Linked DNA regions of Lonchura striata. The protein of the gene in region 2 purifies or fractionates together with the protein of the main gene of each other region. This does not show direct contact. Links are inferred from orthologs where the notes say so. Each region holds a gene or a part of one and is shown on either strand. Other genes may lie near its edges.

Region 1 (7,047 bases), on a different chromosome or scaffold from region 2:
CCCATCACCTCCTTCTGGAAGGCTGCCAGCACCTCAGAGGCCTCTGCAAAGAGCTTCTCCACCCTGTCCCTCTCCTTTGTGGCAGCACCCTGAGTGCGGGGAGAGAGGGGTCAGGTCCCAAGGTGAGGGTGCAGGAGGTGCCCTGCCCAGCACCCAGTTCTCAGCTCCGTGGAATCCCCCTGACACTCCATCACCCTCTTCACCCAAGAACTCAGATCACTTCACAGTGCAGCTGCCAAGAGACCTGGCTGGACACTGCCACTTCCTGCTGCACCACATTTGGTGTCCCCAAGCAGGAAAGTGATGTGTTTGCACAAGGGCCAAAGGGGACAACCCCCCCATGAGCCTGGGGAGACAAGGTGCAAGAGCCAGAGGATGTCCTGGCACGGCCCTTGCCCTGTTCCTTCTTCCATGTTAAAAATGAAAGCAACCAGAGATGCCAGGAGTGTTAGCAGAGATGAGGAGAAAGAATCCTCAGGGATCTCTGCCAGGATCACATAATTCATGGTGCTCCTGTGAGCACCATCTTTACACCCCACGCACCCCAAAATCTCACAGCCCCTTCTCCTCCACCCCCAGCCCAGCAGAGCTGCACTACCAGAGCTAAGGCACTGCAGAGTCACCTTAATGAGCTCCACCATCTTCTTGGCCTGGGTGATGGTGACTGCCAGCTCCTGCAGCTCATTCTCTGCATCGCTGAGGAATTTGGCTTGTTGGGCCTGCAGACATGAAGGACAAACACTGAGCTTTACCCCCAGTCCCAACGGGAGCCACAGGGCATTCAGCCTCTCCTTAAGCTTAATCCACAGACCCTCTCTGACAGAGACCTTGCTATTCAGGTGAAGGATGCAAGGGGAACCATGAGTTGTTGTCCTGTTTTCCTTCCCTGCAACATCCAACCTGCAAACATCCCTTCTCACTCAGCTGGGAAACGAAAGGGTCATGTCCAGCTCCATATTCCCCACCCTGGCCCCAGCGGAAACCAAACAAAACAGGAATTGGAAAGCAAACCCATCAGGCAGTGATTGCAGCTAAGCAGTGCTCTTAGCAAGTATCCAGGGCTGGGAAAAATCCACCTGGGTTTGGTGCAGAAGCTGAAAGGCAAACCTGGAGCACCCAGACACTCAGCACAGAGTCCCCATGAGGTTTCTGTTTAGGAGCAAAGCAAACCAGCTCCGCAGCGCGGGCTGCAAAGGAAGCACCTTCGGAACACGGCGTTTCCTGAGATGCTATTGTTGGCTCAGCCATTGCCCATCACGAGGACGGGTCCCTCGGGAGCCAGGAGGGCACTCCCCAGCCACGACAGCTCCCTGCTGATGCTCAACCCCCGGCCGTGGTCCCTGCAGCGCTTGTTCCCGGGGAGCAGCTACAGGTGCTTTCCCTGGACACCCATCCCAGCCCGCAGCGGTGGCCGGGGGCAGTCACAGAGGTCCTGCAGGAGACATTGAGCAGCGCCTGCCGAGGTCTGACAGCTCCTCGGGGCTGGGATTACACACGCTTTCTATTTTAAGGCACCTCATGACTAATAGTGCTGATAAAAGGGTTTTCCTGCAATCTTTGCAGCCCGTCAGGAGGGGGAGCTGGCTTGGGGCTGCTGCTTGGGGCTGGGCTCCTCCTTGGAAAAGGCAAACTTTCCCAAGGTCTCCAAATGCCTCATGGCCATGCGAGATGCCACCACACCGTGAGCTCCACAGGTTCCCATCTGCCTGCAGCCCCACAGAGGCCCCACACTTTCAAGGCGGCAGTGCCCAGGAAGGCGGCACCACGTTGGGACTGGAGCCCCGGCTCCTGGGAAGGCTCGTGGGCGTGAGTTTAGGAGGTGACTCAGTCACATCTGGGAATGGGAGTGATGGAAAAACCCCCGCTGCCAAGACGGCAGGATACAAAAGGCTGGGGGAGCGGGAGCGGCGGCCGGGCCGGCTGCCAGCGCGGGCAGAAAAAGCGCCCGACGGAGCTGTGGGAACGAGACGGGGACGGCGGCCGCCCCAGGAGCGCGGGGGTGGCCGCTGTGGGGTGTCCCAGGCAGCCTCGCCCCAGCCCTACGCCCACGGGATTGCCAGTCCGGCTCCGCAGCGGGAAGACTCCCCACGGGATGCCTGGCAGCGCCCCTGCCCCGATACCCATCCCCACCTGCCCATCCTGCCCCAATCCCAGGGGTTCCCTGATGGCGCAGCGCCCTGTCCATATATTGGGGTGGAATCCCCCGAGGGGTGAGAGCACAACACCCCCCCGCCACATGGCATCCCACCAGGGCTGCACCTGCACACACCCCACGTGGGGACAGGGCTCCCCGTGAGGACCTGGGTGCAGGATGGCACCCACGACACCCCCACACCAGCGTCCCACCCGCAGCACCCGCGTGGGCACCTCCGCGCCCCTCGCCACCCCGCGCACCTGCTTGTGCTCCCGCTCCTGCTCGAGGGGCACCACGTCGTGGGCGCGATGCTCGTGGGTGCGGCAGCGGGCGCAGACACAGCTCTGCTCGGTGCGGCAGAAGCCGTCGAGGGGCTGCAGGTGGCGGGGGCACAGCCCCTCCTCCAGCCGGCGCAGCGGGGCCACCAGCCGGTGTGCGCGGAAAGCCGGGGCGCGCCGGTGCGGCTCCAGGTGCGCCCCGCAGAAGGACGCCAGGCACACCAGGCACGACCGCTCGGCCGCCACGCGGGACTCCGGCGGGCACACATCGCACAGCACCACCGCTCCTTCCTCGCCCGCAGCATCCTCCTCCTCGGCTCCCGGCGCCATCGGGGATGTCGGAGACGCGGCGGCCGAGGGCGACGGGGACGAGCCGCCGGTGGCGGCCGCCAGCAGCGGCAGGAGCTCGCACAGGGCGCGGTTCTTGCAGAGCCGCAGGGCCGCGGGGACGGGCTCCTGGCACAGCGGGCAGCGGGCGGCCCCGCCCGCCCCGCCGCCGTCGGGGGGGCCTGGCCGCTGGCGGAGCTCCTGCAAGCAGCCCTGGCAGAAGTTGTGTCCGCACGGCACCGTCACCGGGTCCCGCAGCACGTCCAGGCAGATGGGGCAGCCGAGCGGACCCTCCGGCAGCCCCGGAGCCGCCAGCGCCAGCCGCAACGCCGCGGCGGAGGACGACGGGGCGCTCCCGGGCGCAGCATCCATCCCTGAACGCCCCGACCGGCCCCGGCCCCGGTCCCAGCCCCGGCGGGGGCGGGCGGCAGCCGCGCCCCGCCCGCCCGCTCCGCCTCCCCGCGACCGCAGCCGGGCTCCGCTCGCCGCGGTGCCTGCGGGGCTGCTGCGCGCTCGGAGCGCTGATCCACAGCATCCACCGCGGCGTCCTGGAAAGGGTCTCACCCCAAATGGCATCTGCTCTCATCCGGGGAAGCTGTGCCAGCCCATTCCAGTCCCCCTCTCTAGGACCTGCTGCTCCCCTTGAGCATTCCTTCCCTCTCTAGGACCTGCTGCTGCTCCACTGCTCCCCACCACCTGGCCACAAGAAAGGTCCTGAGCCCCCCCAGTGCACAGGTGCAGGTGCTTTCCTGCCAGCCCTCGTGTCCGTGGACCTACATCAGCCCTCCCCATGGCCAAAAAGGGCTGCAGTGCCCAGGTCCTGGCTCAGTCACTGTCCCCTTCTCCCCTGGGGTCTGGCAGAAACTGGCAGGCACCAGAGAGGGCTGGGAGACCCCAAAGTGCTTTTAGAGTGAAGATCTGCCTTGTGAGATCTCTGGACCCCTTCTGTGCAGGATACACAGACAATTTTTGGAGTTGGAGAAGTTCCCAGGTGGATGCTGGCCCAAGGCCTCACCCAAGGACAGGGCTGCGAGAGCAGGGATGTGTTGAGTGAAGCAGGAAGCACAAGACAAATAAAATATGTTCTTGATGAAGGGGATTGAACCTTTTAAGCTTTTTGTCCCCAAACTTAACAATGATGTGATTCATTCCCCAGGTATTCATACCCCCAGCACTTTTGAACCCAGTGCCCAGTTTCACCCTGTTAATCCTCACCAGCACTCCCACAGAAGCGGGAGGAGACGTTGGACCTGCAGTCTCACTCTTGGAAAAACATCAATGAAAACTTTGGACTTTCCTCCCTGCCAAATCAACCTTGGAGCAGAGCAGTAGGAAACCAGGTTTCCTTATCACAGTGCTACAGTAAATAAAGCACCTTCTGGCTCTGCTGGTCACTCATAGGACCCATGGGGACACAGAGGGGCAGGATGGGGCCCTGCAGGGATGGCTGTGGTAGTCAGCTCCCCCCCACCCCCACTGCTGCAGGGTCCCACATCTCCCAACAGCAGCAAGGTCAAAGCAGTAAGAAAATAAAGCTTTATTGGGAAAAGCAGCATTGTACAAAGACCTGCAGTGTAGAACCCTGAGAAGTTGCTCTGCCAGGTCTGAAAACAGCAAGAGAAAACCAAGAAGGGGCTGGGGGGAGCAGGACCTACCTGCATGTGAGGCTGTGTGAGCACAGAGGTCCCTCCAAATTGTTTCAGAGCACCCCATGGCAGCAGTACCTCCCTTCCCCAGGTTTGGGAGTTTGGCAGGGATAGAAGAGGAAAATCTCATTTTTTTTCACCCTCCTTATCCCTTATTTCCTTGCTCTGTCTGCAGGGACAGGCACCCATGGTGAGCTCCAGCCCCGCTATATGTCACTAGTGTGATATTTGCATATGCAAATCAAACAGGTTAATTTACATGTCTGTCCCCATCAGCTCTTGTTAAAACACTGCACTCCACACCTGCCTGAGCACTGAGGTCCCACTGCACCAGGACAGCCTCAGCTGCAGCTCCACTTTGGCACCAGCCTGGACCTGCCAGCTTTGCTATGGCTCTGGCTCAGTGCCTCTAGCACAGCGTCACCACTCGCCCCTCACACAGCCAAAACACAGGGTACAGGGGCTCTGTGAAGACACTGTGGAAGGAGTGGATGAGTTTTGTCCTCTCCCCGAGGCCGTAGAAGGAGAGGAGCCCCTTGCCATAATCCAGGCTGACCCCCAGGTTCTTATAGAGCTGCTCCTGGATTTTCTGGGCGTGGCCCTTGTGCCAGGCCAGGTAACAATCCTCCCTCACCTGCAGCCCCCACGAGCCCCCATCCAGCCCGATGTTGAAGCTGTGGCCCTGCTGCTGCTCCTGGGGGAGCCCCCGGTAGGTGACCCCCAGGATGACAGAGTGGCTGGAGATCTTCACCTCCCAGTAGTGGTGGCCGGGGCCGTAGCTCTGCGTGCACAGCACCTGCCAGGGCTCGAAGCGGGGGCCCTGCCCCTGCCCAGGGACAGTGCCAGGACTGTGCTTGGCTTTGCGGGCACCTTTGGACAGCTCCAGGTACTTGTTGGCTGTCTCGGGGTCGAAGGTCAGGTTGCGGTGGTCTGGGGGAAGCAAGGGGACAGATGGGGCTGAAATGCTTCATCAGACCTTTATGCCCTCCCAGCAGTGATGGGGTTTAAATTCTGTAGGGCTGGCCCCCGAGATGGAAGGGAACAGGGTGTTTGGAGGGGAAGGGTAGTGGGGAGGATGCAACACCTGCCCTAAAGAGAATGGAAAAGCCCAGAAATAGCTTTTGAGGCACTGAAACACAATGTTTTGCAGTTCTTACACAACCCAGCTCACAGCTGTGAGTTCACATTGTGAGCACAGTGGCTCTGTGGCCATTTTGGCAGGGATGTGCTTGATTTTAAGAGGAAAAAGTACCAGTGTGGGTTGGGAGAGGGAGAGAAAACCAGGTGTTAAGTGAGCAAATATGGTAGTGCAGGGAATTACTCTCCTCTGCATGGGCTGTGATAGCTCCTGCTGTGGGCATTCCCTGGCCACCAGCAGCTCACCTTTCTCCCCCAACACCTGGGCCTTGCAGCTGGCTGGGCTCCTGCCTGCTGCCCATAAATAACAGGGGGTTCTCATTAATAACCCTAAGAATGTTCTGTGGGGCCTGATGGAAGGAATTCCTGCAGGCAGCAATTGACTCCTTGGCAAGAGTGACATGACCAACATGGCCTGAACATCACCCAAACCTCTTCCCAACAGGGAGGAGGTGGGAAGAGGAGCACAGAGGAATTTCCTAACAACAGGGGATGGCTGGCCTGGGGAGGAAAGGGGACATGAAGGACTATAGCTAGGAATGCTGAGACCATACTCCTGGACAGAGAGCAATGACTGCAGGCATGGCTCTGGACTGGGGCTGTGCCATGCAGGGCAGTGACTGATCCAATACCAGACAGCCTCAGTTCCATGGGAAAGCAATTCCTGGTGCTCCTAATCCCCCTAATGGGTCCTTTCCCATCCCAGCCCATCCACCTTGCCCCCAGACCACCCTTCTCTGCATTTAGGGAGACACATTGGAAGAACCAGGGATGGTGCTCCTGTCCCTGTAGCCACAACCACCCTCCTCCCAGGAAGGAGCCTGGCTTGGTGACATCTCTTTGTGCTGGGGACCCCAGTGAGGTGCTGTCCCTCCAGGCCCTCTGTGCTCCTTACCTTTCAGAAGCTCAGCTCGGAGCTGGCACTTGGGGAGAGGGTCCACAGCCTTCACCACCAGCTCCTGAGGATGCACTGGGCCTGTGGAGGATGGGAACAGGCATCTTGAGTAATGCCACCCAAAAACTTCTTTCTTCCTGGCTTCATGGGAAGAAAAGGAGAAGGAGGAGGAGGAACTCCACTGTATCCACACCTGGGAGCAGGCATGTGCCACCATGGTTCAGCATTCCCAGCAAGGAGGGGCCACAGGGAAGCCACCCTGCTCATCCCTCTTCATCTGCTGACCAGTAAATGTGTGTCCCATCCTAAACCCCTGTGCCCAACAGCTGTGTCCCCAGCAGTGGCACAGGCCAGGCTCATCTTCAGGATGACTCAGAGCCTTTCAAAGTACCCCTGAGAGCAGGAGGGTTACCTTGGTCAGCAGCGTTGGGGGCTTTGGGGGCCACACAGGCAGGCAGGTCCTCTAGCAGGAGCCTGGAGATGCTGGTGAGGATCTCAGAGATGGGCTTGATCACAGGAGCCACATCAAACTCCACGGGGACCAGCACCTCTGGGCTCTCCAGAGGTGGGAACAGGGGGAACTCCTGCAGACAGACACACAGACACCATGAACCAGTCTGGGGAGGACTG
Region 2 (7,029 bases):
TCTACATCTATTAACATAAATTATAAGAAAGTAAAATGTTCCAGATGTGTTTAAACTGTTGTAGAAGGAAAGTTTGTGGCTTCACTGGATATATATTAAATATATCTAGAGAGAGCAATGGCAGTTATATACAAGAAAGCAATAAAATGCTTCACTAGAGTCTATGTTAAAATACCATAGTTCCTAGAAATATGACTAAAACATTTCAGAAGTCATATTTCCTCCAGTTTTAATTCAGAAATCTACTTTAATGTATTTTTCTATATATTATGAACTATTTTATTAATAAAGTAATCTTCTTAATTTTCTTTTTATTTCAAATACAGCTGGAAACCTACGGAATTACTTCAAATTCCTCTGACAATATTTAGACTAAAAAAATAGGTGACATTAAAAAGGTAACAGTACTTTGAAAAACCAAGTAGTTGATACGTTTAAAAGATTTGGTGAGTTTTTTGTTGGTCTTTTTTTTTTAACAAGATCACCAGACTTCATCTGATTATCTTCTAAATGGCAGTTTCACACATGTAAAACCCTCTCTATCCCAAACCTGTAATGTGTGAGAAACATTTTCTTTAGAGAAACCTCTCTAAAGAGGTTTTCGTGCTGCAGGGGTGGATGTGCCCACGTCCCCAGCAGGGCTGAACGTGGTGGCTGGTGCCTGTGGGATGCTGGCAGGGCTGCAGGCAGGGCTGATGCTGCCTTGGGAAGCACAGCCACAGAGGGCAGGTGCTCATCCTCTCACCCGCTGGGCCTACGCTGCAAACCAAAGAGGTGCCCTGCTCGTGTACAAGCTGGGGCTGGCATGGCAGGCTCTCTCTGCTCCTGATACTGCCAAAGCACCGTGTCCCATCAGTGAGTTACAGAGCGACTCTGCTTCACACTGCTTTCTCGGGAGCACAGCAGCAGGTTAGGATTCACACGAGTCGCTAAAATAGCATGAGAGGGGAAACTGCGAGAGTTACTTTGCTATTTAAAGTATCAAGAACAAAGAATATAAAAAGGAAATGGCCAGTTTTTCAAAATTCATGCACAAAAAGCATTTCATTTAAGTATCTTTTTGTTCCAGTAAACTATTTTGCATACAAAGGACTTATTTATTACATATTTGAACTTGTGGGAAAAAGGGAAGGAATGCACTGATTCCTGAAATAACTCTACAGCCTTTTTGGAGGCTTTGCTTTTCTGTGCTCTTGTTCTACTCTGAACAGTTTTATTGCAGGGACAGAGGAATTCCTTGGAGTCAGTTGTTTCTTTTCCACTAGCTGTACTGAAGAGTGGGCATACATAGCATACTAGCCAAGGATTTTAATTTCTCTTCTATTGCCTTATTATGTGTGTGCGCTATCTGTTCTGACGCATGCTTATATGTGAACACGTTGCATTTTCTGCCTGCTCATTTTTTTACCTACTCTACGTTATTTCACATTTCCTTGCAAAACCATTGCTTCAACTTGAAAAGCAAGGTAATATCCATAACGATCTCAAATAGAAAGTGAATTAGAAAATTAGTGTGTGTATATGTATAAACATATTAAAGAGCATATAGGAGTACGGGACTGGAAAGAGCATTCTCAAATTCTACAAATACTGCTGAAAAGTAATTAGAAGATAGAAATTACAGAGAACATGCTATATTCATGTCTATACACTCTACGCATACAGTTTCGAGTTGTTTTTGAATAGTGCGCCTGATTTGACACATTTCTATCTGGTGATTGTGTTAAATGCTTGATAGTGAAATATCCAAGCATTCCTTGTGCTAACTACAGCTGAAATTTTACACTTATTGTAACCTTTCCTAACAATGTGAGAAAAACAGAGTAAATATATTAAATTTGTTTCATAACAGATGCTTAGGTTGTTAATATTTAAGATGCCTATTCATGCTATTCCTGTCTGCACATTTGTCAAAAATGTAAGCTTGAATGCTAATGTTTGCCAGCAGACTACAGCAGACAAATATATGAATGCGCTGTACCAAAATAATATAAAGTAGAAATAAGGGGCTGCTACTAACTCCCACCCAAGCAGCACGGACCAGAATGAAAGGGCACCTCCAGATCACACGTCTCTGCATCTGAATTTGTGAATTATTTTCACAGAATCGCTGCGCTCACTTGCACGGACTAAAACCAGAGGAGAGCTTTTCTCAGTTTAAACTCATTTCAGCTTAGGAGCTGGTGCAAAGTGTTTCAGAAAACTTAGATTGTAGCGAAGTTTCTCCCGCAGTCAGAAAAAGCTGGAGACTGGCAGAGGGAAACTCCGGGTCGGGCAGGTGCCTGTCAGGAGCGCTCCCCCCGGCAGCCGGCGGAGACGGCGACAAAGGGGCGAGGATTTAGCAAAACCTCGGGTGGCGGGTTCGGAGACGGAGTAGAAAAATCAAAAGTAAATCCTGGAGCACACAGACGAGCTGCTGGCGCTGCTCCCCGCGACAGCGGCAGCCCCGGGTCGTGCCGCGGGCGGGCGGGGGGGACTTGCCACCCGCCGCCACGGGCGCGCCCCCGGCTGGGGCAGCCGCGGCCGCTCGGCCGCCCGCGCAACCCCCGCGCCCTGCGGAAGCGCCACCCCGCGACCCCCCCGCCCCCCGCCCGCGACCCCCGGCCCCGCCGCTTCGCCCCGCGCCGTCGGGGGCGCCGCCGCCCCGCGCCCGCCGCTGCCGGGAGGCGCGCGAAGCTGGGTAAGAACTTTGCCAAACTTCTGGGGGTTTTTCCCTCTGCCCCCACCCCCGCTTCCCCCCGCTCCCCCCCGTGCCAGCGGCGGGTGAGGCGGCAGCGGGCAAGGGAGCGGAGCGGAGCGGGGCCGCCGACCGGCAGCGGCGCGGCGGCAGGTGTGAGCCCGCGCCGGCCGGGAGGCTCCGGCAGCGGCAGCGCCCGGCGCGGCCACCCGCCCCGCGCCTCCCGCCCGCCCGCCCTCCCGGGCCGGCACAGCCGGGTAAATCGCCGCGGCGGCTGCCCCCGGCACGGCTCTGTCCCCCCCGTCCCCGAGGAGAGACGCCGAAGGAGCGGGACCAACTCACTCATGGGAGCGCGGCGGGCGAGGCCGGCGACACCTCCGGCTTCCGAGGCGCCGGCGAAGTTAATTGCACTGAAGTTCAAGTTGTCTTTTCACCCATCAGGAGTGGGCGTTTAAAGGAAGGAGAGCGAGGAGGAGGAGGGGGAGGGGGGAGAGTCTCTCTCGCTCGCTCGCTCTCGCATACACACGCGCGCACACACACACACACACACACATACACAGAGGCACACGCATGCACGCACGCACACACACACACGCACACGCACCCGCCCGCTCGGCTCCGCTCCCGAGCTGCCTCAGCAAGGAGGAGCCCGGACGGAAAACACCAGGGCAGCAAGGTACCGGCGTGGGGCAGCCCTGCCTCTGCCTGCGCGTGTCTGTGCGGGTGTGCCTGCGCGTGTGTGTGTATATGTGTGTGAGCTGTGTGTGTGTGTGTGCCCGCGGTCCCCCCGCCTGCTGCCTCGTACGGCCCCTCCAGGCGGGGAGGTGCGCGCTGCCCCCGGGGAGGGGGCGGCGGTGCCGTCGGGGCAGCGCGGCCGCTGGGGGCCGGTCCGACTGGGGCCGGGGTCTCCGAGCCCTGCGCCGCCCGCTCTGTTCCGCGCCCGCTGCCTCCTGCCTGCGCGGCGGCGGTGGGAGGGGGGGAGAACCGAGCGGCGGCTGGAGCGCAGCGGTGGCGTGTGTCTGTGTGTGTGCGCGGCGGCTCCTTCCCTCCGGCGGCTCCCGGCCCCGGGGGGCGGTGGGGCTGACTTGGTGCAAGTGCCGGGGGATGGTGGTGTGCGTTTACTCGTGCCTGCCGCGTCCCCCTTCTCCCCGGAACTCGGGTCGAAACCCTCCACCGTCCCCGCATTGCCTTCCCCGGCACCGCGCCCCCGCCCCCTTCTTCCCCCTTCTCCATCCTTCCCCCGCTCCTTTATTTCCACAGCTGTCCCCGCGCCCTCTGGCCGCCCCCCGCCGCTACTCGCAGAGCCCCGGCGGCAGCCTCTTTCGGGCAGGCAGCGCTCCGCGGCTACCCGCGATTTGAGGTGGCTGATGGAGAAGCTCCGCTAGCGCGCTGGCGGTCTCCGCGGGCTGGGGATGCCCGGGTGCGGGCAGGCATCCCCCGGAGGCCTCTGCCTGCCGGCAGTCCCGCTGCCCCGTCGGGCCGGGAGCGGGGCCGAGTCCCGCATCACTGTGCTACGCCTGCCTGGTGTTTCACCTGGCACCACGTGCTCTGTAACGCTGTTAGAGAATTGCCTTTATTCATGAAACTTCTCCTAGGGGAAGTACTTTTCTCTCCTTTTTTTGTTTTTAAGACCTTCTTTCCCCTCTTCACTGATGTAGGATTGGAAGTGGAGCTACTGGAGAATGACCACTGAACGCATGTTTCCCTGAAAGCTGAGGCTGTTTCTTATTCCCAAGGAGACTGACAAGAGAGGGGACCCGGATGTCAGCCCAATCTCCGTTTTTTATTTGTCTCAACTTTGAGGCAGATTTTTGTCTTTCAGCTGTGGGAACTGACAGGTACAATTCCCATAGGCACCTTTCCATCAAACAAGACCAAGGCCAAGAAGTTGATTCGTCATTGCTTTTCCTAGTTAGCCAGCAGTATGTCATTCTATTAATTGCTATTAGTAAGTTAACCTTGTAGCTCAGTTATTGAATAATCATTAATCCATGGAGGATACACAAGCCCAAAGGTTAATAATAGGAATAGCAATTAATAATATTGACCTTGCCAGTGGGGAGAGTATTTTTGTCACAGTTATTAAAAGTCACTACTATTTATACTAGGTGCAATGGTGCGAATTTGGACTCAATATGTTGAATACCAAATTACTGCAACAACACCAGAAATTAATTCACCCTTTTATCTCCATGTTAACAGTCCTCTGACTTTTTCTCTATTTAAAACATATCATCCCCTACTTTCTCATTTTAAATAAAAATCCTAGGTCTTTAATAAATTCTAACATTTCCACTAGAAAATAACATCGAGCTCACTTACACAGATAAAAATTTATTTGCCTGCAGCTGATTTGTTGTAGTGCTTTGGATGTCTTCATTTCTCAGAGAGGACTTAGCTTTTTATTATCTTTTGATACCATGGGGTAATAAACAGGAGATCAGTACAAAGGGGACATTCTCTCTTTTATAGGTCCAACTCTCCACTCCCTGGAGTTGCCTCCTTGCAGAGCTACTCTGACTGACTGACTGACTAACCTACATCCTTCTACTGTCAAAGACCCATCTCCTTTATTTGTATCACATTTCTGACTGGCTGGTCAGTAAGCCCTAATAATAATCATGTTTCATGTCTCAGAAATCTAATAATCAAGTTACTCATTGCTACAAATTGCAGCTAAGCTATTTGGGTTAGTCACGTTATCCCCACTTTAAAGGCAGGGAAACTGAAACAGGAAAATTAACGCATTTGCCTGAGGCTACACATGGATTTAAGACCAGATCCAGAACTGTAACTGAATTTAGACCAAGATCCCTTTTAAAGATCCTCAAGTGCACTATTGAAAATCCTTCTTTAAAATAGAAATGTAGCATAAACCTTATTTTTCATCAACTTTGTATATTAGTCAAAACACACACACTTTTTTTTAGGTCACATTTTGTTTTTAACAGGTAAGGTTTATTCAGCTTTTTTTAAAAAAAGTGTGGTAATACTTTTCAGCTACATCAGGCAGTTTACTTTGGAAACAAATATTTAATACCAGACTGTTTGCAGTAATGGGAATAGAATTGCTTGTCATTGGGCTACTGTAAACAATATTAGCTAAATGTTATGGTATTGTTACAAAACAACAAACTATGATGGGAAGTCCAGCATTAGTATAGATAAGGTGCTCTTGCTTACCTAGTGTGCACTGGTTTTCAGCATAATGCTCCTTCAGTGCTTTCAGTATCAAAATACCTAATATGAGTCTAAACACCGAAATACATATGGGACAACCATATACTGTGTTTGAGAGTTACAATTTATGTCATTAAGCAGTGAGTTTTACCAAGTTGTGTCATTCATGTCACTGAAGCAACACATATACTGCCTGCTCTTTAGCTGTGGCATGTCATCAAAGCATGCCTAAAAGCCAGATGTACAATATAACTTTCCTATTACTGACATGTAGATATTTCCTCTTCCTCAATTCCCGCCCTAAATGTTTCCTTGCCCAGCCTTCTACATGCTCAGAAAGGAGCTATAGATGCTATAATGCTTAGAAAGGAACTATAGAAAGTCCTGTTCATCCTGCTCATCTCTGATGTCTGGAATTGTGCAGCTGAAAGCCTATACAGAATAAGTATACATTCTTTTTAAATTATTTTTTTATTTATGCTGACAGCTCCTTTCTGAGCATTTTTAGAGTCCTGATTTGAGGGAAGTGGGTGCAGATCTCATTCAAATAGTCATTCTCCAATACCATTAGCATTACCTGCCAAAAATGAAAGTGGCATATGAATCACAATAAGCCACTCATGAATTTGTGGATTTAGAACCTGCCAAGGAACAGCAGATACACACACGATTTCAAAGACCCATCAGTTTTAGGTACTTCCAGCAGTGCATATTTATCCAAAGACCATCCTATTGATGGCACATCTTATAAGGCCTACAGACATAACTGATTCCAGGGAAGGATAATACTGACTGAAAATATTTCTGTTCCAGTCTTTCTTTTACAAGTGAGGTAGTGAAAGTGACGAATCTGCTAATCATAACCATGTCAGAGGCCCTTCCTGAGGTGTCCCTTTTATTGAAGTGCCACTGTGACATAATGATCTGTTGGTTTTCTGTGAGAAGAGCTTTAAAATCCTCTGGGAAATATCACAGTTGCTTTCCAGTTCCTTTCAGACATGTAAATACCTTTATGTTTAGACATGAGTACAGAGGGGTGGAAAGTGAAGTTCAGCAAGGACTAGAGTGGGGTTAAAAGAATCCACATGGATCCAGTGACCAAATACATATATATGTGAGCTTTTTTCTGTATCTGATATTACCTGGGGCTTGAAATGAAATGTTCATTTCCA

Evidence for each region.
Region 1: the proteins of SATB1 (region 2) and TRIM47 purify together in Homo sapiens (affinity purification with mass spectrometry; 4 studies listed by BioGRID and IntAct, with this or other methods). This does not show direct contact. The link is inferred for Lonchura striata from reciprocal best matches to the Homo sapiens genes SATB1 and TRIM47.

What each region holds. Positions count from the first base shown.
Region 1 is NC_134621.1:4,377,787-4,384,833, reverse strand, and holds the start of TRIM47 (E3 ubiquitin-protein ligase TRIM47), read right to left. Parts: upstream 3,112-7,047; coding exon 2,395-3,111; intron 720-2,394; coding exon 624-719; intron 90-623; coding exon 1-89. Other genes in the region: E3 ubiquitin-protein ligase TRIM65, read right to left, coding at 4,795-5,315, 6,418-6,498, 6,830-7,001. UniProt on the Homo sapiens protein: E3 ubiquitin-protein ligase that mediates the ubiquitination and proteasomal degradation of CYLD.
Region 2 is NC_134603.1:120,688,892-120,695,920, reverse strand, and holds the start of SATB1 (DNA-binding protein SATB1), read right to left. Parts: upstream 3,127-7,029; 5' UTR 3,020-3,126; intron 1-3,019. UniProt on the Homo sapiens protein: Crucial silencing factor contributing to the initiation of X inactivation mediated by Xist RNA that occurs during embryogenesis and in lymphoma.